3 linked regions of the Pelodiscus sinensis genome follow. The protein of the gene in region 3 purifies or fractionates together with the protein of the main gene of each other region. This does not show direct contact. Links are inferred from orthologs where the notes say so. Each region holds a gene or a part of one and is shown on either strand. Other genes may lie near its edges.

Region 1 (6,965 bases), on a different chromosome or scaffold from region 3:
GGTTAAGAGGGGAGGTAAATGTCTGTGAGCTAGTGATATTAGAGGTGATAACTGGGGTGATAGTTTCCCCCCCATGTCCCACGAAAGCTCATCACCTAATAAACCATCTTGTTAGTCTTTAAAGTGCTACATAGTCCTGTGTTTTGTTTCAGCTAGACTAGACTAACACAGCTACATTTCTATTACCAAAATAAAAAAGCACTATAAAGTGACTGTACATCCTGCATCCTTCTGGAAAAAAAGACTCTCCCACTCAAACTTCCTTTCCTCCTAGCTATCCTCAAAAGCTAGACCTCAAGATAAATGACTGAATAAACAACCAAACATGCAATGGAAACTTATTCATGTATTCATTTCAGCTCTGCTGTACCCTCAATAATTATTAGCTTTTCTTTTTTTTTTAATTTATCTGAGTCATCCATGAAAAAATGTTACTTTCCTCCTAAATTGCCAAAATGCCACTAATATTAACCAGCAACATATGTAAAATATATATAATTCAATTGTTTGGCTCAGGCTCATAGTCCTGTTTAACACTTTGTTCAAACGTTAACTCAATTTTAAACTAGCATGGTAGGATATTTCTAACTTACTATAAATACATTCAGAAACATCTGAATATTTGTGTTGAATAAAGCCTTTTAGAGGTGATTAAAGAATTCTCTCTCTAGTTTTAGACAAAGTGAGGGTGAAATGCAGTGTTGCCAACTACTGATTTAAATAAGTACCATAGTAGGTAGGGTTTGCTTGTTTAGATTACATGAGAATCTGGTTTTGTTTTATTAAAAGAAAGAGTCTAAGCATTGTGATTGTAGAGAAAAGCTTGACATGAACGTTAAAACATCCCCAGATCAGAAGAAAAATATTAATACTAAAAAATAAATTTAAAAAAAATCTCATGATTTTTAAGACAATCCCATGATTATTGTGGCCTGACTCCAGATTTTTGAGTAGTTGGGATAGGCAATGCTGAAAATGTAAGAAACAATATTAATGACCAAAAGTAAATTAGATTAATATTTCAGTTTTAATAACCTAAGATGGTAGCAACAACATAGAAGGTTTTAATCAGACAATTAAAAAAAATTCTTCAGTGACTATGACAGCCAATTCACTTGATTTGTGTTGTTTCTCAACTTGGACCAAATCTTTCATGCTATTAACCTTTATGCAAAGGTTTTTGTTTGAAGACTTAATGACTGTGTCTACACTGGGCCACTTATTCCGGAAAATCAGCCGCTTTTCCGGAATAAGCTGCGAGCTGTCTACACTGGCCCTTGAATTTCCGGAAAAGCAACGATGCTCTACTGTACAAAATCAGCCACTATTCCGGAAAAACTATTCTGCTCCCGCTCGGGCATAAGTCCTTATTCCGGAACACTGTTCCGGAAAAGGGCCAGTGTAGACAGCCCAGTAGTCTTTTCCGGAAAAAAGCCCCGATCGCGAAAATGGCGATTGGGGTTCTTTTCCGGAAAAGCGCGTCTACATTGGCCACAGACGCTTTTCCGGAAAAAGGGCTTTTCAGGAAAAGCAGCCTGCCAATGTAGACGCTCCTTTTCCGGAATAACTGAAAACGGAATAGTATTCCGTTTTAAGCATTTCCGGAAATTCATGCCAGTGTAGACACAGCCAATAAGTAAGATGACAATCAGAAAAAGAGAACAATTATTTCCATCACAGTTACAGTATGTTCTTTTCCTCAGATCAACAACTGGTAAACAGAATTACTACAGAACTTGGACTTCATAAATTATCCAGAAAAATTAATTCCTAGTGCTCCCAAATTGCCACATTTAGTGCCATTACCTCAGATGCACTAAGTACACCTGTATGCTTTTAAATCGGCTTAAAAGGCAACCGCCAAAAACTACACAGCAAAATTTTTACAATTCTATCAAGTTCAGCTTGTATTTCAAAAAGGAATACGCCACTTTCTTGTTCTGCATTTAGTATATGATCTTGTCATGACGTGCAACAGAAGATATGCAGCCTTGGATGATGCTAAGCAATGAATCACATTTTCCTTTCCCCCCCCCCCCCCCGTGTGCTACATCAGCATCAGGCCACTTCCTGAGCCCAACCTTCTTCTCTGCATCCAGAAAGGGGGCGTGTGTAAGAGGAAGGATGACTGCCGAGGCCACAAAGGGCCATCTGCTTTGCATCCAGCCCTGCGAGAACAGCTGTGAATGGGGTGGGGTGGGGGGGGGACGGGAGACGTTTCTGATGCAGGACAACCACGGCAACTTGCTCTGTACCGAGGCAGGAAACGGAGGGCTGAGGAGACACTGCCGGGGGCAAGTGCCACACTCCAGACACCTGCTGGGCATTCCGCACCCCTGAAGGCACGTGCAAGTGGGGAGATTATTGCTCAGGGCACGCGGCAGGAAGCGGAGTCAGACCCAGCCCGCGCCCCAGAGATGTTACCGTGTGTGCAGCCACCGGGAGCAGGCAGCGGGGGAGGGGAGACGCTGGAAAGGCGGGCGGCTCCCCAGGGGCCTGCGCGGGCTACGCTGTCCTCAGTTCCCCATCACCGCCGCGACCTGTCTACGCCGGCCGGTAGCCCGCAGGGCGGGCAGCGCCCACGCGACGCCTCCCCGGGGCAGCCCGCCCAGGAAGGCGCTGTCGCTGACAGGCCGCAGCCTGGGGCCAGCCTCAGCGTCACCTCCCCGCCCCATGGGCAGCCGGCGAATCCCCCACCCGCCGAGCTCCCCGGGCAGCGTGGGCGCAGCGACCCCCTCAGCCCCGGGCCACAAGCGCAGCAAGCACCCGGCGGCGCGCGAACGGCCGTTGGCGCGGGGAGGAGGGGCGCACTCACCCGCTCGTGGCGCGCGCAGATTCCAGACTCCGGCTGCAGCGAACCCGGCTGCTGCCTCCTTCCGCTGTTTAAAATGGCTGAGAACTCAGGGAGAGCGGGAGGAGGGGCGCGTGCCCCGCCGGCCAATCCCCCCTGTCGGCTCCGCTGACGCCATCGCCGGACCAGAGCGGGTGTGGGCTGGGGGGAAGCGGGGGGGGGGGGGGAGGAAGGAAGGAGCAGGGAGAGGGAAGCGTGTGGGGAGCGGGTGGAGCAGAGGGAGGAGCAGAGGGGATGAGGTGTGGGGGGGGAGCAGAGGGAGGAGCAGAGGGGATGAGGTGGGGGGGGAGCAGAGGGAGGAAGGAGCAGGGGATGAGGCATGGGGGGAACAGAGGGAGGAAGGAGCGGGGGTGCAGTGTAGGGGAGAGTAGGTGGTGAGAAAGGAGAAGGGGTGAGTTTGGTAATGCAGGGAATGGAGTGGAGAAAGCAGGAATGAGGAGGAAGAAGCATTAATGAGACCTAAACAGGACAGGAAGGAGCAGAGGAATGCATGGGAGAGTAATTAGAGATGTGTGGGAAGTAACAAGCAAGTGAATGTAAAAGACTCCATGGGAGAGTGACTTAGGCAGGTCTCATTTTTATTGCTTTCAAACTTGCCCAGGTAGTCCCCCAAAATATGACAGTGACCCTACCCCCAACTGAGGGGACACATGACATGAGTAGCTGCAAAAGCTGTTTTGAGATCATACAGGACTGCTTTATTTATTAAACTCCAGCCTTTGGGGGCTTCATATTTAATTATTTGTTAAATGCCATCTGTTACATTTCAGAGCAACTGTACCTATTTCCCCCTCCATGGCACCCACTTTTAGGCCATCATCTCTCTTGGGCAGAGATCTACATCTCCCCACTCGTGACCAGGTTTTCTCCAGACAGCACAATTCCCTGCCTATATTGTGATATCTCCAGCAAGCCAGACTGCCCAAACAGGTCAGCATCTGTGCTTTACTTTTTGCCCAAAGTCTATGAAAAACTATAAATGGTAGCAGTTACAAGTTACCACACAGCTATTTCTAAGAAGCACATTTGTTTAAGATGAAAACAGAGAAAATGTAATAAAACGTTAAAATAACCTACATGCACACTAACCAACCAACACAATGCTGTCCACACTGATACTTTTGTTGGTGAATCTTTTGTTGGTCTTTTCACGCTTCTGGCCAACAAATGTTTTACCAACAAAAGTGCTAGTGTAGACATATCCTAGGGTTTTGGTAGGTGTCAGTCCTCCAAACTCCAGAACTGAGTTTTTCAAGGTGTTACAAGTTCATGGCATGTTCTGTTGGAATAGGTTAGTATTTCCTTTGTACACCTTAGGCCTCTAACCTTCAGACTAAAAACTGGTAATCAGCATATAATGGTGCTCTCTTCTGGACAAAGCTTCAATAAACTGGGTTTTGCAGAAGCAAGAGGGGAATTTGCACTCACCTCTCACTAGAGATTGCCCAGGTGAACACTTGACACTGTTTATTCCGAAAGTCCATTCTTGCATGATATATTGTTTGATATAGTTCTTTGAAATTCATAAATACAGTATTCGCAAGATTAATAATATCCTGTTTCCCTTCTAGAGAGGTTATATACAATCCTGGCAGACAAAAATACATAAACTAGTGTGATGGGTTCCAAAGACACTTAAATACTTAAACTTAATTCAGCAAGACATTTTTCAAGGATATTGCAAGAAATTGTCATATCTGTGTGACGTAGTGGGGGTACTTGCTGGGCTGTGGTGACCCCTGCTGTATGGAGCAAGACCCAGCAGGGAAAACCTCACTATGCAAAGGTAAAGCCAAACTTGTTGAACCAGACACCCCCCATGGAGAGGAACAAAGGAAGGTGGAATGCTGCCCTGGCTGCAATTAGTTAGTTCCTGTCTGGAAAGCAGGGGAGAAGGAGCTGGGGAGGGGGGCTGGGAACCCCCCATCTCAAGGGGAGCACTGAGGCCTCTTAGCCCCAGTTCCTGTAACCAGATTACATCTGTGCTATGCTGTATCCTGGAGGAGCAATAAACCACCCTCAATTCCACTGGCTGGTGGAGTCTGTTTGTGCCATTTTGGGGTGCAGGAGACGGGGGACCCCCAACGCGCCGTCACAATCTGTTACACCAACCAGGACATTAAAGCAGGGCTACTCAACACATGGCCCATGGGCTGCATGAGGCCCACAGCCCATTTGTTTGCAGCCTGCAGTCTGGTTTGGGTTTATGCAGGGCTCAACACACAGCTTGCAGGTGGGATCCCTTGAACATGGACTCCACTGGGAACATGCTCCACAATGGCAAGGCAGGGTGAGCAATTAAAGACGCAGGTGGACGGGCTGGCTGGAACAAATGGGTACATCGTGTTGGCATTTCTGGCCCCCAGGGAGGAGGTGCTGGGAGTGCCAGTGCATTGTGGGAAGTGCTAGCTATTTAGCCTTGTGGGGAGAGCCTGAGAGGTACTAACTGGCCATGTTTGGGTCTGGTGCCGTGGCTTAAGGCTTAATCTTTTTTTTCATGCCAGTCAGTGTGAAAGAAGCTATTTGCATATATTTGCATATATTTTTGCATGTATGTGCAACCACACTTAAGTTGCGACCCTCGGCATGTGCTGTGAGTATCATTGTGGCTCCTGCGGCTTCCAAAGTTGAGTAGCCCCGCTATAAAGTTTTCCTATTCCAGAGAGCTTACGATCTAAGAACAGAAAAGGGAGAGGCATTAGGAGATCTAGAAGGCAGAATCAACTTAGACATACAGATTAAGATCTATTTAAATATTATTTATTTCATTAGCTTATTCTAGGCTATGTCTACAATACAAGATTATTTTGAAATAAGTTATTTCAACATAATAAAAATAACTATTTTGAAATGACATGTCCCCACTACAAATCCCCATTGAAATAGCACAGATCTATATTGAAAGAGCGTGCCCACATTCTTTGGAGCCTGAATGGCATTTAAGGCCCCCCGGAAACACTCAACTCAGAGCATCAAGACAGCAGTCACTTCCTGTAGCTGCTTCCTGAGGCTATCTGAGGCTTGTGCTTAAAGGGGCTCCCCTCTACAGCCATGTCTCAGACTCTTATTATTTGAGTGATTGCTCATGTCCATTCCATGTAGGTGTGTGCACACTGCATGCGTGCATCGACAGAAGTTTTTCCCTTAGCAGTACCTGTTGGGCCAGCAGGGAAGCCTCCACCACTATATCAGCTAATATATACCCCTACTGGCCCCCACCCCTTCTTACCGCCCATGATGGTCAATGGAACGTGCTCTGCTCTTGCTCTGGAAGCCCTCCCTAGCAGTTCTTACTTAGTGGTTGCCTTAGTTTAGTTAGAGTTGCTGTTAATCGTTCATTATTTTCTATAAATAGTTCTTAGTGTTAAGTGATTCGTTCTGGGTCAGGGACTCACTTTGCGCTCCCAGCACCTGTGGCAGGGTACGCCTGGACCCTAAGGCTTCAAGCCCTGTGTCAAGTGCTCAAAGCCTATGCCCTGTGGAGATCCCCATGAAGCCTGCCTAAAGTTCTTGGGGGTGGGCCATCTTTTGGAGTCCTGCAAGATTTGCAGAGGGTTCAAGCCGCAAACCAAGTGGGAGCGTGAGACTCACCTTAAAATATTGCTTATGGAGGCGGCTTTCCATCTGTCACTGGTCTTGGACTCCGCACCAACCACACAGAGTGCACCAGCCTCAGTGTATGAGGCACCCGGCCACTCCAGGGACTCCTCAACACCGAGACAGTGCCAGCACCATTCTCAATCCCTGGTGCCACAGGAGAAATAGAGGCCAAGCAGGGGCCAGTCTCCATCGCGGCACATGCCCACAGTGCACCCTCAGGAAGGGTACGGGGCCACAGTGGGCTTGGCATCCGGACCTTCTTTCCAGACTTCATTCCAACCTGCGCTGGGATGTCAGCCCAGCGGAAGACTTCCCAGAACCATTGATGCCAGATACCTTTGAAGCTGCGAGAGGCCTAATCGAGCTGACTTTGTCCCTGACCCAGGCGCTGACCTCACGGAAAGAGAGGGACTCTTGGTGGCGCAGGATTGTGGCTTCATCCCCAAGTGCTCTGGCATCAGCCCTGAGGGGACATCACAGATCTTCCCTGATGCCCTCAACCTCTACTCTAGCA
Region 2 (7,923 bases), on a different chromosome or scaffold from region 3:
TAAATTTCATTTGCTATTTTGTTGCCCAATCACTCAGTTTGGTGAGATCTTCTTGGAGTCCCTCACAGTCTGCTTCTGTCTTGACTATCCTAAACAGTTTGGTATCATCCGCAAACTTTACTACCTCACTGCTTACCCCTTTCTCCAGATCATTTATGAATACGTTGAACAGGATTGGTCCCAGGACTGACCGTTGGGGGACACCACTAGTTACCCCTCTCCATTCTGAAAATGTACCATTTATTCCTACCCTTTGTTTCCTGTCTTTTAACCAGTTCTCAATCCATGAAAGAACTTTCCCTCTTATCCCATGTTACTTGCCCTTTGGCTGACTGATGTACAAGTGCATATTTATTAGCAATATTGGTATACCCCGGTTACCCTTGACTGGCTGGTACTTCTTAGATATAAAACTGGATAATTTCCTTTTCCTTTTTGATCTTTAAAGCAGATGTTTTTTGAGCCAAATGAGTATCCTTCAGAAACTGGAAACCTATCCCAAGTTAAGTCTATACAGCAGAAATTGAAATAAGGATAGGTAAAATGTAAGATAGATATTGTCGTGTAGCAGGTCCTTTTGACCACGGTCTCGCGCGTATTGCCCTTACTGCCACACTAAAGCCCCTCACAAGAAAAACACAGGCTGCTGAGGCAGATCCAGAGATAGAGCTTGAAGTCCCTCGGGTGCTCAGCACAGTTCTCAGTAAACGGAACTTAACTTGGCAAGCACCCGGGCCAGGGGCCTTCAAGCCTCAGTAAAGGGAACTTAACTTGGCAAGCACCTGGGCCAAAAAGATAAGAGTAGGGACACAAGCTGTCCCACACACTAAGTTAACGAGCACTAAAAAACAGGACAAGATAGGAATAAGAGACATGAGCTGTCATATACATCAGTTAAGAAGCACCTGGAGCAGGGAAACAAAAAACATAGCTAGCTTTCACGTGTGCCAATCATGTCTGCATCAGGCACTGACCACAATCAGACGTCATATCACAAGGAAGGAACCCTGATATGTACACAGTACCACAAAATATCAAATAACCCTAATATGGTACCGGATGTTAAAATTATAGTATAAAGCACCCTGAGCCCTAAGTTCGGGGAGGTTCCGTATCAAGATAGAGGAAACGTATCGTCCAGCCTGGCTAAGGGGTTGATCACCCAAGGCCGCCTCCCACCCACCGAATCACGAAAGGGTGTACGAATCCGGAGCATGCTACGCGTTGTTTTTGTCTGTGTATCATAATTGTCACTGGGTTTGTAAGTATTGCTTAATATATTATTCATCAGCTTATTATTTTTGTATTGAATTTCTTTAATGTATGTTTTATTTGCATGCTACGTTGTCTTAAACAAATCAGAGACAGTAATTGAATATAATCAAATTGTAGTCAATAAAGTTTGTAATTGGTTAAGTACATTTAAGTCTCGGGCTTTCCTCCTTCACGGCCCTAGTCCCTTGCCACAAAACATCACTCCTAGACAATCTATTGAGCCTCTGGTTCATCATATATCAGGTATGCAAAGTGGGAATTGATGAGCAAACAGCCAAAACATGACAAAAAAATAATAAAAGGAAACTTTTTTTCCCAATTCATCTGTGGAACTCACTGCCATTTAATAGCAGTGAGGTCAAAAGATTGTTAGACTTTTAAAAGAATGAAGGCTTATTGATAATGAAAACATTAAAATAACCATAGGTAGGATAAAAAACAGATTAAAACCCACTCTGTTTCAGGTCATAAGCCAGCACAAACTGATAGGAGTGAAGAAGAAACATTTCCTATCTGGAGATAACTGCCCACTATCATTTCTTGTGGACATGTGCGAGCACACACATACCCCATCCTATGACACATCTTGTATTGGCCACTTTTGTAGTTACAATACTGGACTAGACTAGAGGGTCCCATTGGCTGATCTGGCAATGCCTACATTCCAAGGAAATCATATGACAAATATTAACACAGTACAGTTAGGTATTTTAAACTCAGGGCATATGAAAATTAAACTGGGAACCACAAATCAGCCCCTTGTGTGTGTATATATTACAGTACTCTTGATTCCATTCCATTTGGTGGAAAAAAACTGCATGCTATCATATTATTTGAGAAACAGTATGTGACACCATGCAATTAACACTGAATTGTATGCTTGTACAAGGGGAAGAGCTAAAGGTCTGTGGTCCAATGCCTCTCCCCTCCCCCTGAGCCAGGCACTCCCAGCCCCCTCCCACCTAATGCCTCCCCCTTCCCCCAGAGCCAGGCACTCCCAGCCTCCCCAACCTAATGCCTGGGTCCCGGAGCTGCCCACCACACATAGGGTTGCCAGGACAGTCCAGTATTTGTACCCTCTGACTGGTAGAAAAATTCTGAAAATACTGGACACGTACAATGTCCGGTATTTTCTGAGTTCCCTGCTGGGCGCTGGAGGGAAGCCTGGTGGGGGCGGAGGAGCGACTGGGAGGCGGGGCCGTGATTGGCTCTGGTAGCCCTGTGGTCACGTGCAAACGCTGGGCGGGGCGGAGGCAGTGGCTGGTCCCAGCCACTCTTCCCGCCCAGCTTTTGCACGTGACCAGAGGCTCCCAGCACCAATTGCAGCCCCGATTCCCAGCTGGGAGCCTCTGGTTGTGTGCAGAAGCCGGGCGGGGGGAGTGACTCGCAGGCCTTCCCCCTACCCCCGCCCCCGCAACTAGAGGGAGTGCCTGCCGGGGCCGCGGCCCGAAGGACTCCGGCTGTGGCCAGTGGCTGCACCCCGTCCCCCCCACCAGCTCTGCTTCCCGCCCCCCTTCCTCTGGGCCTCCCTCTCCTTCCGTCCAGTCCCGTGGCCCCCGATCCCCCCCGCTCTGCTTCCCAGCTCCCCCCTTTCTCCCGGCGAGCCCCACGGCCCCCAGACCCCCCCCCCCCCCCCGCCAGCTCTGCTTCCCGTCCCGCCCCCCTCCTGGCCAGCCCCACCCCCGTCCCAGCCGGTTTTTGGCGGGGTCTACCTGGCAACCCTAGCCACACACTTCTTCCTCGGGTGCTGGGGTGGTGTGAGTACAGCGGCCAGCTGTGAGCAGGCACTTGAAGCCTGCGCAGAGCAGCCCGGCCAGCCAGGAGCACGTGCTGGGGACCGTGAGCAGAGCAGCCCAGCTGGCCGCGAGCAGTTGCTGCGGTGCCGTGTGTAGAGCGGCTGACCGTGTGTGATCTGCACTTGGCCATGTGCTCCGAGCAGCCAGCAGGCCGCACTTTATCCTTTTATAAAATGTAGTGGTGGGCCACAAAAAACTTCGATCTGGCTGCATGTGGCCCTCCAGCCGCCTGTTTGACATGTCTGGTCTAGATGGTGTTGAGTCCGGCTGTGAGGGCAGGGGACTGGACTCGCTGTCCTCTCAAGCTCCCTTCCAGGCCTAGTGGTCTATGATTCTATGTCCATCCACGGGCATAGGGCCTGACTGTGAAATGCTGCAAGCGGAACTGTACTTGCGACCTCTGGAGCTTAGTGCATTAACCTCTAGCACAAGGGGGGGAGGCAATAATTTTTGGTGGGGCCAGGATGCTTCTGGGCTACCCCAGCCCCAGACCATGATTGGTCTCGGGGTGGGGGAACCCCTTTGCCCCCCTTCCCATTAGGCACCCATGCCCCTGGCAGGGCGGGAAGAGGCGTTGCATGCTCCCCCAACCCCAGGCCAATCAGAGCCTAGGGGTGGGGAAGTGTGCGAAGCTCCCTCCCACCCTGCGAGGAGTGCATGGCACTTTGAAGTGCTGCAGGACGAGGGGAGGGCAGAGGAAACTTTGCGCACTCCTCCCACCCCCAGGCCAAGCAGCACTTGGAGGCGGGGGAGCACGTGATGTCTCCTCCCACTCTGCAAGGAGCGCATGGTGCTTCAAAGCGCTGCATGGTCCTGCCAGGGTGGGAGGAAGCTTCGCATTTCCCCACACCCAGGTCCTAATTGGCCTGGGGGTGGGGGAAGCGGCAGGGCCTCCGTGGGCCAGATCAACCCACTCGGTGGGCCGGATCTGGCCCACGGAGGCCCTTTTGCCCACCCCCAGGAGTGGCCTGAGGCCGGCTGTGGCAGCTGGCGCCCTAGGCGGAAGGCGCGATCAGCGGCCCCGCCTGCACTGCCGTCAATGGCCGTGACGTAATCATGGGGCGCCCCGGCCAGCGTCGGTCTAGGCTATTGCCTAGTTTGCCTAGGTTCATGGGACGCCCCTGCCCTCCCCTGCTCTAGCACTTGAGCTAAAAGTCAGTTGGATCTCAGCTAAGGCTGTAGAGCAGACTCATTATTCTCTCTGCAAGTGGTCTCAGTGCCCCAGCTGGGACCATGCACTATACCCAGTCGGGGTGCAGCTACATACAGGGGAGGGAGCAGGCAGGCAAGGCTGACATCACACCCTAGGGAACATTATGGGGTACAGGCTGACCAGGATATGCGAGTTGCTCTCTGGCCCATGTTGGGATGTCGGATGGTTAGCCCTTCGAGGGGGGACTGCAGGCGGAAGCACTCGCCCTTTGCAGCAGGAGGCCCAGTGCAAGGGGTGGTGGTGCTGGGGGCCACAGCCAGCTGTTTTACTCCTATAGCTGCTGGGGGGTGGGGTTGCCCAAGTGTGCCAGGTCCTAAGGATGGGGGCTCCCTGCCCCTGCAGCCAATGCTGCCGCCGGCAGGGGGCGCAGCGAAGCACCCTCAGCGGCGCATGCGCAATTGCGCGGCAGCGCCCCTTGTGGCCGAGACCCGCAGCTGCAGCTCCGCTCCTGGCTCCCGCCTCCGTCTCTCGGCGACGTCAGTTTGCTGGGACGTGCCCCTTAGCGACCGCCGCGCAGCCTCCCTTCCTGCGCGCCGCAGACGGCGCTGCCTGATTGGCTGCGGGCGCTGTCGGTCGGGAGCGAGGGGGCGGGGCGCGGTGGCGCGGGGCGCGGCGATTGGCCGGCGCTCCCAGGGGCGGGGCGGCTCCGGTCCGCTCTGGTTGGGGGTGTCGGACGGTGGCGGGTGCAGCGTCCCGAGCGCCGCGGTCGCTGTCCCGGTGAGGCCCGTGAGCGCGCCCAGCCCCCCTCCCCCCCGCCCGGCTCCGGGGCGCGGAGCGGAGCCGCCGCGGGACCATGTCGACCAAGGACGAGCGGGCCAAGGAGATCCTGAGGGGATTCAAGCTGTATCCGCCGGGCGGGGGAGGGGCCGGTTCGGGGGGGGAGGGGCGGCGAGCAGGGCCCCCCCCCCCGGTGCTGTCACCGAGCCCGGCGCGTGCTGAGGAGCGGGGCGCAGATCCGCTGCCCCCCCCCCCCCGGCCAACTGCGGGGGGGCCCGCCAGGCTCCGTGCCGGGTTACACCTGTGGGGGGGGGGGGGGGCAGCGGCTGCGCCGTCCCGCGTCTCCCGCTGCGCGGCGGGACCCGCCGTCCCCCCGGACCCCCCATCCCTGCCGAGTTGATCCGCTCGCGGGAGCTGTCCAGGCGTGGCTGCTGCTGGACAGCAGGTAGGGCAGCTGGCGAGCAGCCGTGCCTGGTGCTCCAGGGTTGTGGTTTCATTTTTGCTCGGGAAGCAGAGCTTGGGCGAGGGAATGAAAAGTAGGCAGGTGTGTCTGTGTGGGCAAAGTCCTGAGACGCGGATGATCACTGCCTCTCACCGCAGTCCTATCCCTTCTTTCCCAGCCTTACGCTCTGAATAGTGGCTGCAACTTAAGGATCCACCTCTGCTTGGCAGGGAAACGCCTAACTTCAAAGTCCAAAAGAGGTGTAGATAAGTAGCTACCTTGTTCCTTTGGTTGACCCAAAAATCCCCCCCTCTTTTGCCTATCAGGCAGTGGGATGTGGTACAGCTTGCTATCTAGAGTGCTTGTTGTGTGTAATCACTAACATGGTATACATTGCCCTTCCATGGGGCCCGCTGATGCTCATCTTAAATTTGTATGTGCTTTGTTTAACTGAGCAAGAAGTGAAACCTAAGGCAAGAAGGAGAATTGAAATCCTGGATTCCTCGCCTACCCAGGATTTTAGTAAAGGGTGGAAAGATTCCATTAAAAAGGAGTACATGTGTGAAAGGAGTAGGAGAAATAGGGTAAGTTTATTTTAAAAGACCCAGCCTTTCATTTTTCAGTGTAATGAATGTAAAGTAGGAAGGTGCTGGTCTTGGTCTGGACGCTAGGGGAAACTGTAGTTACTGATCAAATTCAAGAGAGCAAAAGTAGTAGTGTCTACTGTGGTACTGTAGTATTTTTGGTTATTTTGCTTGCTGAGATTTTTGCTGCATCAGTTTGTATATAATCTCTAACAGCTGTGGAATGATGTTCTGAGCTGTTCTATGTAGGATTTAATCAACTAGCTACCATCTGAAAGTGTGAGCAGATGTTTCTCCCTGTGAAAGTATGGTATTTCCCCCCCCCTCTTTTTAGCAGTGATCCCCCTGTATCCAGTCAGTCTTAAAAATATTTTTTCTGGAGTAGCAGCATTGGAAGTTCTTCCTTGTACATGCAGCTGTCATGTTTCAGTTGTCAAGAATATTGTTACCAAGGCTGAGATGTTCAGGCTATTAGAGAAGATTAAACTTTTGACAAATTTAAGCTAACAAGCTAGAGTCTTCATTTCCCACTAGCTCAAGACCTCAGACGTGCACAGGGCATAAACTCCAGCTGCTAGTTTTTATTTGGCCCTCCAGCATTTGCGGGCTAGGAAACTTAAGCAGCAGCTATATTTCAGTGATGGATGGGACGGATACAATCCCTGTGTATAGTTGATTAAAATAATAAACTTTTTCAGTTTTAGCAAGGGAAGATGTTGTGCAAATGTAAGGGTGCATCTGTACAGCATTAAACACCTAGAACTAGTTTTACTTCAATGGTGAGAAGCAGCTTTTATCACTTATTTGTATTTTGCTCTGGCAATGTGAAGTGAGTGTAAAACTGCCATAGTGGAATAAAAGGGTATTGGTATAAACCAGACTCATGCTCAATGAGTTTGATGAACTATGCTCATTTACATGGAGGCCTTGTCTGTACTAACATGAGCCTTTGACCTAGGTTACGCAGGTTTTAACTTGAAATAAGGCTACACAAATTGAGCTATGTGTAGCATATTTTAAAATTGGGAGCATCTACATAGAACTTTTTCCTTCATGGAGAAGGTCTAGGTTGGATATTAAGAAAAACTATTTCACTAGGAGGGTGGTGAAGTGTACTGGAATGGATTACCTAGGGAAGTGGTGGAATCTCCATCCCTAGAGGTTTTTAAGTCTCAGCTTGACAAAGCCCTGGCTGGGTTGATTTAGTTGGGATTGTTCCTGCTTTGGGCAAGGGGCTGGACTCAATGACCTCCCGAGGTCTCTTCCTGTGATTCTGTGATTCTATTCCCTTATGCCTCGTACAATGAGGGTTACAGGAGTAGGAGTAAGAAACCCTTCAGTTTGACAGTATTTTGACATTCTTTTGAAATAACTGCCTGCTTGTGTAGATGCAGACTAAATTATTTCAAAATAGCACTGTCGTGTAGACTTACCCTCAGAGATAGTGTAGGCAAGGCAATATCTTTTATTGGAGCAACTTCTGTTGGTGAAAGAAGTTAATCCAATAAAAGTTATTACTTCACCCACCTTCACTCCCTCTAATTCCTAGGACTGACATAGCTATACTACCACTGCATATGCAAATGTGAAATTAAATAGTTTCCAGTAGACCAGTGTAGGACTAATGTAATTAATTTTAACACACATTATGGCCCATCTTAGTAGCTTAATGACAATGCTGAGCACCATCATTTGGGAGCAACATAAGTTCAGTTTCATTTGCTCCTTCAAAATGACAGGGTCTTGGAATAGTATAGAAATTGAGCCCTGATGGAGGAATTGACAAAAAGCAAGTATCACATGGAAAGTGATGTCTTTTGATTCATTAGAAAACATCATTTAAATACTTAAAGAAGCATGATTTAGACTTCATTTGTAAGGCTGCTGTCTGATGTA
Region 3 (7,803 bases):
AGCGCGCGCCCGAGGGGAGCGGCTCCATAGAGACCAGCAGCAGAGTGCCAAGCAGCAGGGCACCAATGGAAACGGAGCCTCGCAGGGGGCTGGATGAGTCTGCAGCGCGTCCTGCAGCAGTGTGGGGACGCCCATAGCTATGGGAGGGCACCGACTTTCCTGGGAACAGCCCCTGGGTCAGGGCCGGAGGGCGGAAAGCAGGCGTTCTGCGAACGAGCCGAGCTGGGGCGGCCAAGGCCTCGGGTATAGTCCCCGGACGGGGCAGGGGCCTCAGCAGAGGGTCTCTCGGGGAGGGGGTGCCCTCTGGAGAGCAGCCGGCCACGAAGGGATGGGCGACAGACTCTGGCTACGCAGATGCAGACTGGTCCCTTGTGGGGTCCCGCACTCGTACCGGGGACCCGAGCCAGCGGCGCGCGGGCAGGAGCCCCTCCCTGGGTCACCCCGCAGGAACAGCGCCTGGCTGCTAAGGGGAAACACTGCTCGCACCCCGGGTGAGGGGCACACGCCCGGCGCTGGAGCCACAGCACACCCTGCCCCCCATTCCTGCAGCCGGACGCCGGGAGCAGGGCCGGTCTTACTGCCTCTGGGCAAAGCCCTGGCGCCCCCCGGCGCGAACGCTGCCCTGAAACCGCAGGTGCGGGCGGAGAGGGGCCGGGTGCCTTTCGAGCTGCACCCCAAGGTGGTTGTGTGCAGGCCCCGGTGGCTTCTCAGAGGGCGGCTGCGGCGCCCCAGCCACCCCGCCCCTCTTACAGAACCGAACCGCTCCCCGCGCTGGGGCGGCACCCAGCTCCCTTCGGCACCGGCCAGGAGCGCAGCGTCCCTGGCTGCAGCCTGCCCGCCTCCCTGGCCCCCGAAACGCCAAGTCGCTGCTCCCCCGCCAAGTGGGGTGGTCAGAAAACAGGCAGCACAGCCGCACCCCCCAGCAATGAGCCAGCAGGGGGGCATTCGCGCAGGACACGAACCCCTATGGCACCCCACCACTTAACTATACCCCGCTGCCCCGTGCACCCCCACTCTCCCGCTGCCCCACATACACCTGCCCTGTGAACTTCCCGCCCCATGCACCCCTTCCCCCCCGCTGCCCCATGCACACCCCCGCCCCATGAACTTCCCGCCCCATGCACCCCTGCTCCCCACCCTGCCGCTGCCCCACATGCACCTGCCCTGTGAACTTCCTGCCCCATGCACCCCTGCTCCCCACCCTGCCACTGCCCCATGCACATCCCCGCCCCGGGCACCCCCACTCTCCCGCTGCCCCACATACACCTGCCCTGTGAACTTCCCGCCCCGTGCACCCCTTCCCCCCACCCTCCCGCTGCCCCATGCACATCCCCACCCCATGAACTTCCCGCCCCGTGCACCCCTTCCCCCCACCCTCCCGCTGCCCCATGAACTTCCCGCCCCGTGCACCCCTTCCCCCCACCCTCCCGCTGCCCCATGCACACCCCCGCCCCATGAACTTCCCGCCCCGTGCACCCCTTCCCCCCACCCTCCCGCTGCCCCATGCACACCCCCGCCCCATGAACTTCCCGCCCCATGCACCCCTGCTCCCCACCCTGCCACTGCCCCATGCACATCCCCGCCCCGGGCACCCCCACTCTCCCGCTGCCCCACATACACCTGCCCTGTGAACTTCCCGCCCCATGCACCCCTTCCCCCCCGCTGCCCCATGCACACCCCCGCCCCATGAACTTCCCGCCCCATGCACCCCTGCTCCCCACCCTGCCGCTGCCCCACATGCACCTGCCCTGTGAACTTCCTGCCCCATGCACCCCTGCTCCCCACCCTGCCACTGCCCCATGCACATCCCCGCCCCGGGCACCCCCACTCTCCCGCTGCCCCACATACACCTGCCCTGTGAACTTCCCGCCCCGTGCACCCCTTCCCCCCACCCTCCCGCTGCCCCATGCACATCCCCACCCCATGAACTTCCCGCCCCGTGCACCCCTTCCCCCCACCCTCCCGCTGCCCCATGCACATCCCCACCCCATGAACTTCCCGCCCCGTGCACCCCTTCCCCCCACCCTCCCGCTGCCCCATGAACTTCCCGCCCCGTGCACCCCTTCCCCCCACCCTCCCGCTGCCCCATGCACACCCCCGCCCCATGAACTTCCCGCCCCGTGCACCCCTTCCCCCCACCCTCCCGCTGCCCCATGCACACCCCCGCCCCATGAACTTCCCGCCCCATGCACCCCTGCTCCCCACCCTGCCACTGCCCCATGCACATCCCCGCCCCGGGCACCCCCACTCTCCCGCTGCCCCACATACACCTGCCCTGTGAACTTCCCGCCCCGTGCACCCCTTCCCCCCACCCTCCCGCTGCCCCATGCACACCCCCGCCCCATGAACTTCCCGCCCCGTGCACCCCTTCCCCCCACCCTCCCGCTGCCCCATGAACTTCCCGCCCCGTGCACCCCTTCCCCCCACCCTCCCGCTGCCCCATGCACACCCCCGCCCCATGAACTTCCCGCCCCGTGCACCCCTTCCCCCCACCCTCCCGCTGCCCCATGCACACCCCCGCCCCATGAACTTCCCGCCCCATGCACCCCTGCTCCCCACCCTGCCACTGCCCCATGCACATCCCCGCCCCGGGCACCCCCACTCTCCCGCTGCCCCACATACACCTGCCCTGTGAACTTCCCGCCCCGTGCACCCCTTCCCCCCACCCTCCCGCTGCCCCATGCACACCCCCGCCCCATGAACTTCCCGCCCCGTGCACCCCTGCCCCCCACCCTCCCGCTGCCCCATGCACACCCCCGCCCCATGAACTTCCCACCCCGTGCACCCCTGCCCCGTGAGCTCCCCACTCTTGCACCGCCTGGCCCCGCGCAAGTTCGCAGCCCGGCCCCTACCTCAGATCTCGCCGCGGGGCCGCCGCATCCCGGCAGCGGGGCGCGGGGGCGAGCGGGGCGCGGGGAGGCTCCCGGCCGGGCGCGGGGCTGGCGGCGCCGCATCACATGCGTGTGGGCAGGGCACGCCGGGAGCCGAGCGAGCCGGGCCTCCGCGCCCCGCCCCGCCGGGCAGCGAGAGCCGCCCAGCGCCGGGCCCATCCGCAGGCATAGCGCCCGGCTCTCCCCGCAGCGCCCCGCCTCCACGCACCGTGGCTCAGCCGGGCTAGCCGCCAGGGCGCGGGCCGATCTGGGGCCCCTGGCCGGAGAGGGGCCGTGTTCCCTCTGGCCTTTCCCCGCCAGTGCGGAATACCTACCTGTTCTGTGCGCCCAGGCGGGCCGATGTGCACCACCAGCAGAAACACACCGAGGTGGGCACCCTGCTGATCAGCTGGGGCAGTGGAGTCTCGCCAGCGCCCGCATGCTGGGCCAGTGCCGGTCTGTGCCCCACCACGCTGCCCCACGGTCTGTGCCCCACGGTCTGTGCCCCACCAAGCTGCCCCACGGTCTGTGCCCCACCAAGCTGCCCCACGGTCTGTGCCCCACGGTCTGTGCCCCACCACGCTGCCCCACGGTCTGTGCCCCACGGTCTGTGCCCCACCACGCTGCCCCACGGTCTGTGCCCCACGGTCTGTGCCCCACCACGCTGCCCCACGGTCTGTGCCCCACGGTCTGTGCCCCACCACGCTGCCCCACGGTCTGTGCCCCACAGTCTGTGCCCCACCACGCTGCCCCACGGTCTGTGCCCCACAGTCTGTGCCCCACCACGCTGCCCCACGGTCTGTGCCCCACCACGCTGCCCCACGGTCTGTGCCCCACCACGCTGCCCCACGGTCTCTGCCCCACGGTCTGTGCCCCACCACGCTGCCCCACGGTCTGTGCCCCACCACGCTGCCCCACGGTCTGTGCCCCACCACGCTGCCCCAGGGGACGGGTGTTGCAGAAGAAGACAGGTAGGTAGAACTCTGCCGGGATTATTTTGCCCAGAAGGGCCCGTTGTGATCATCTCAGACCCCCTGCATAGCACAGAGCAGAGCCCTGCCCCAAAGGAGTCCCAGAGCAGAGCTGTGAGGAACCCCCCTTCATTTACAAATCGCCAATGCCAACCTCACCAGGACCTGGGCCAAAATATTCCAGTGGTCAGTTACCTCCCGGCTACAAATCTGTGCCGTAGGTCCTGTCGCAATTTGTCCAGCCGCGGGACCGTCCGACCTTTCCCTGCCAGACAGAAGAGCCGGTGGTTACACGTTTGCTTGTCTACACACCTGCTTACAGACTGATCACGTCACCCGTTCATCTTCTCGCCGCTGGGCAGAACACGTTGAGCTCCTTGAGTTTGTCACTGCACAGCGGGTTTTCTGATCCCATCATTTGCATGGTTCTGTGGACCCTTCTCAGTTTATCACTACCCCCCTGGAACCATGGGCACCAGCTCTGGACACGGGATTCAGCAGCCATCACAGCGGAGCCAAACACGGCAGTAAAATAAATAAGCTCTCTCCTCCTACTTGAGATTCGCCATTCTGCATCCCCGGATTGCATCAGTCCTTCTGGCTCCCGGGTTGCACCGAGAGCTCATATTCAGCGGCTCATCCACCCTGACCCCCAGATCTTTCCGAGTGGCTGCTTCCCAGGAGAGAACCCAGCCTGTAACTACTCTCCCCATTCGTGTGTCATCTGTAAGCTCTCTCAGGGCTGGTTTTGTATTTTCTTCCAGGTCATGGATCCAAGTGTAAAACAGGCCTTCTCCCTCCCCGCCTCGTTCTGCATGGAGCCAGAGTGCCAGGGAACGGAGACACATGGGGCTAACGCTCCATGGGGCTGGCCTGGACTCCAAGTTACAGCTTCAAACACGCTCTCCAAGCGGAGTCCCATATGGGACGTGCAGGCCTCGGGTGGGAGCATGTCATCTTTCCCAGAGTGCTCAGCAAAGAGCAGGTGCATGACTCTTTGGAGTGAGCAGATTGCGTCATTCCTGCTGCAAAGCTCTGATCCTGGCGCCAGGAGCCCCCAGCAAGCTCACCGAGCTCCTGCTCCGTGGTCCTTTTGGATAAGTCGTCCCAGTGTGTTCGAAGGGTCAGCCTGCTGGCTGTGTTCCTGTGGCTCAGCCGTACTAAGGGTCGTGGTGCCTCTCTGAAGCTGTGCGGGGGACCGGCCCCTAGGAGTCATATAGATCTGGCCACGAGGTGACACTAGAGCCATACACAGTAACAGGCCCCTGCTCCGAGCTACATTTACACTTGAGCGACTTGGCTGCGTGGCCTTGAGAAAAGCTCCAGATGTGGCTTGGTGCATCCATCCAGCTTGGAGGAGTAGGGTCCTATAAGATCCATCACTGTACACTCCTTTGGGGCAGGGATATTTGGGTTTGTTCCCTGCCCAAGCCAGGAGACATGACATAACGTCCAGGGCTATCATTGCTTGTGGTCGTCGCCAGCCCCAGAGATTGCATTGGCCATAAGCCCCCGAGATTCCCACCAGGCCTGAGAGCATAAGGCTGGTGTCAACACACGACTGTTCTTACCTCACACGCTATAGCAGCGCCCCGATGGAAACAGCTGCGGAGGACTAGGAAATGCAGAGTTAGACTCGCCCTGGCAAGAAGAGAAGAGTTTTGAGGAAGGGTGGGCTTATGGCTAGAAACCTCTGCTCTGTGACCCAGGAAACCAGGGTTTGATTGGTTGCTCTTGTGGGAGTGGAGGCCAGCTAAATGCCCCGATTGATAGAGTAAAAAACAGCAAGTATCAGAGAACCCAGAAGGGCTGAGTTAAGGTGACTCTTCTCACAATCTGAGTGTTTTACTCACCTAGCCAGTGCTCAGACTTATACCCAGTATGACACCCCCCCGCCCCACAAACAGGCGTCAATATTTTTCAGACACAATTGTGCCCCACTTCTGCATGTTTAATGAGGCCATATGATGGGCCGTTCCTCTTCCTATGCTACAAGGGACCCTTATCCTAGCATGGCTCCAGTGTCCCAGGTAGAACCATATTATATCACTGATTGATATCAACGGTAAGCTAGTGCCAAAAATACTTGCAAAGAAACAAGAGAAAGCTCTGCCAGTCATTAATCTCCGTGGTCAGACTGCCTTCGTTAATATAGAAACAGAGCAGGTAACCTATGGCAACCGAGGACCCTGCCTAGCGGATAGTGCACTGGCTTTTATTTGAATTAGTGAACAGAGAAATGATGCAATAAAGATGGAAGACACTTGGGTGTAACTGGAGTCTGTGTTTTCCAGATTCGGTGAGCTGATGGCTGCTTCCAGAGTACACATGGGGTGCACAGTGAAAATGGGGCTGCATTGTCCCATCTTCTGGGCTGGGACCTAGGAGACCTGGGGTTTATTCTCAGCTCCACTACCGTGGGAAGTCACTTGCCCTTTCTGTAAAATGGGAACATGGACATTGCCCTCCTTTGTAAAGTGCTAGGGAATGCTAGTTAGCTCCAGTAAGACTCAGCAATTTGCATACGATTCCTGTCATTAATCCAAATGGAATGTAAAGATAAAGAACAAATAATAGAAAATGTATGCACTGTTAGATAATAGAAAATGGATGTAAGTTAATAGAAAACGTCTGCACTGCTAGATAATAGGATACTAAATGGAGGAATTTAACATAAGGATTTTACTTTTTGAGAATGCAAGTCAATCAAATAAATTAAAGTCTTATTGTCCAGGGAGGCACTGAAGCCAGTTCTCTACTCAGGACTGGTCCCTTGGCCCTGGAGTGTCCGATTTCGGCTCTTATGCATTGCTCGTCACTGTAGTACCAGGGCATGTGCGTGCCAAAACCGCCTCCCAGAATAGCACCCCCCCAAGGCTTCAGAACCCTGCTCAGCATCGCCAGCTTCTCCTGCATTAGCAAACCGCTGCGCTAGTTCCCACAGAGCCCGGCCTTCCCATGCACAGACGTCACAGAGGATCCTGTGTATCAGCGAACTCGGACTTGAATAAATCTGGCGTATTAGGCTCCTTCTCCGCCATTGGCTGGAGATCCTGAGGGCGCTCGAAGGCTCTTCAGTGGGAATGCTTGTACTTCAAATTCAAAAACTTCCTCCCACCCATTTCCCACAGTGAGTCGCCCTCTCAGCTGCCTCCCAGGCCCCTCGCCATGGCCCCTCATTCCAGCCCTCCGATTCCTGCGACGGTGTGTGGGTTAGCGGAATCCCTCTCCCCCAGGGACGGAGGGCGGCCCTCTCACAGGCAGCGATGTGTCTGCCAGACACTGTACATCCAGGCTTGCTGGCCATGCCTGACAGTGGAACTCTGTGAGTAATGGGTAGCAGGTTTAAAACTAATAAAAGAAAGTTCTTCTTCACACAGCGTGTAGTCAACCTGTGGAACTCCTTGCCAGAGGAGGCTGTGAAGGCTAGGACTATAACAGAGTTTAAAGAGAAGCTAGATAATTTCATGGAGGTTAGGTCCATAAAGGGCTATTAGCCAGGGGATAAAATGGTGTCCCTGGCCTCTGTTTGTCAGAGGCTGGAGAGGGATGGCAGGAGACAAATCGCTTGATCGTTGTCTTCGGTCCACAGCCTGGCAGTGTGGGAAGGCATTGCTTTCCCCTGCCTCTGATACCCGCCCCCCATGCCTACCGACCTGCATGCTGCTCGGCCCGTCCCTGCAGAACTGTGCAGCCCGACGGTGGCCCAGACAGTAACGTTGCTGAAACAGCTGTGCTCTGAGGCAGGGATATTTAATCCGGCTAGGCAGAAGGTAAATTGCATTTTCCACCCTCCAAAATGAAGGCGCCACTTCCTCTGCCGGAGCGTTCTTTTCACCTAACGAAAGTGCAGCCTGGCATGAAACCTGTGATGAAGACGCCTAGACACAGTAATTAGCTGGGAAGCATACAATTCCCTACATCGTGAATATCTGGCTGAGGCCACAATAGCAATTTATACA

The links. The genes of interacting proteins can lie anywhere in the genome.
Region 1: the proteins of FBXO10 (region 3) and ACSL4 purify together in Homo sapiens (affinity purification with western blotting; 3 studies listed by BioGRID, with this or other methods). This does not show direct contact. The link is inferred for Pelodiscus sinensis from reciprocal best matches to the Homo sapiens genes FBXO10 and ACSL4.
Region 2: the proteins of FBXO10 (region 3) and PDE6D purify together in Homo sapiens (affinity purification with mass spectrometry; 3 studies listed by BioGRID and IntAct, with this or other methods). This does not show direct contact. The link is inferred for Pelodiscus sinensis from reciprocal best matches to the Homo sapiens genes FBXO10 and PDE6D.

What each region holds. Positions count from the first base shown.
Region 1 is NC_134723.1:28,414,357-28,421,321, reverse strand, and holds the start of ACSL4 (long-chain-fatty-acid--CoA ligase 4), read right to left. Parts: upstream 3,015-6,965; 5' UTR 2,816-3,014; intron 2,757-2,815; exon of another isoform or gene 2,425-2,756; intron 1-2,424. UniProt on the Homo sapiens protein: Catalyzes the conversion of long-chain fatty acids to their active form acyl-CoA for both synthesis of cellular lipids, and degradation via beta-oxidation. Preferentially activates arachidonate and eicosapentaenoate as substrates.
Region 2 is NC_134720.1:49,903,273-49,911,195, forward strand, and holds the start of PDE6D (retinal rod rhodopsin-sensitive cGMP 3',5'-cyclic phosphodiesterase subunit delta), read left to right. Parts: upstream 1-4,909; 5' UTR 4,910-5,077; coding exon 5,078-5,127; intron 5,128-7,923. UniProt on the Homo sapiens protein: Promotes the release of prenylated target proteins from cellular membranes. Modulates the activity of prenylated or palmitoylated Ras family members by regulating their subcellular location.
Region 3 is NC_134716.1:740,261-748,063, reverse strand, and holds the start of FBXO10 (F-box only protein 10), read right to left. Parts: upstream 3,017-7,803; 5' UTR 2,955-3,016; coding exon 2,853-2,954; intron 1-2,852. UniProt on the Homo sapiens protein: Substrate-recognition component of the SCF (SKP1-CUL1-F-box protein)-type E3 ubiquitin ligase complex. Mediates the ubiquitination and degradation of BCL2, an antiapoptotic protein, thereby playing a role in apoptosis by controlling the stability of BCL2.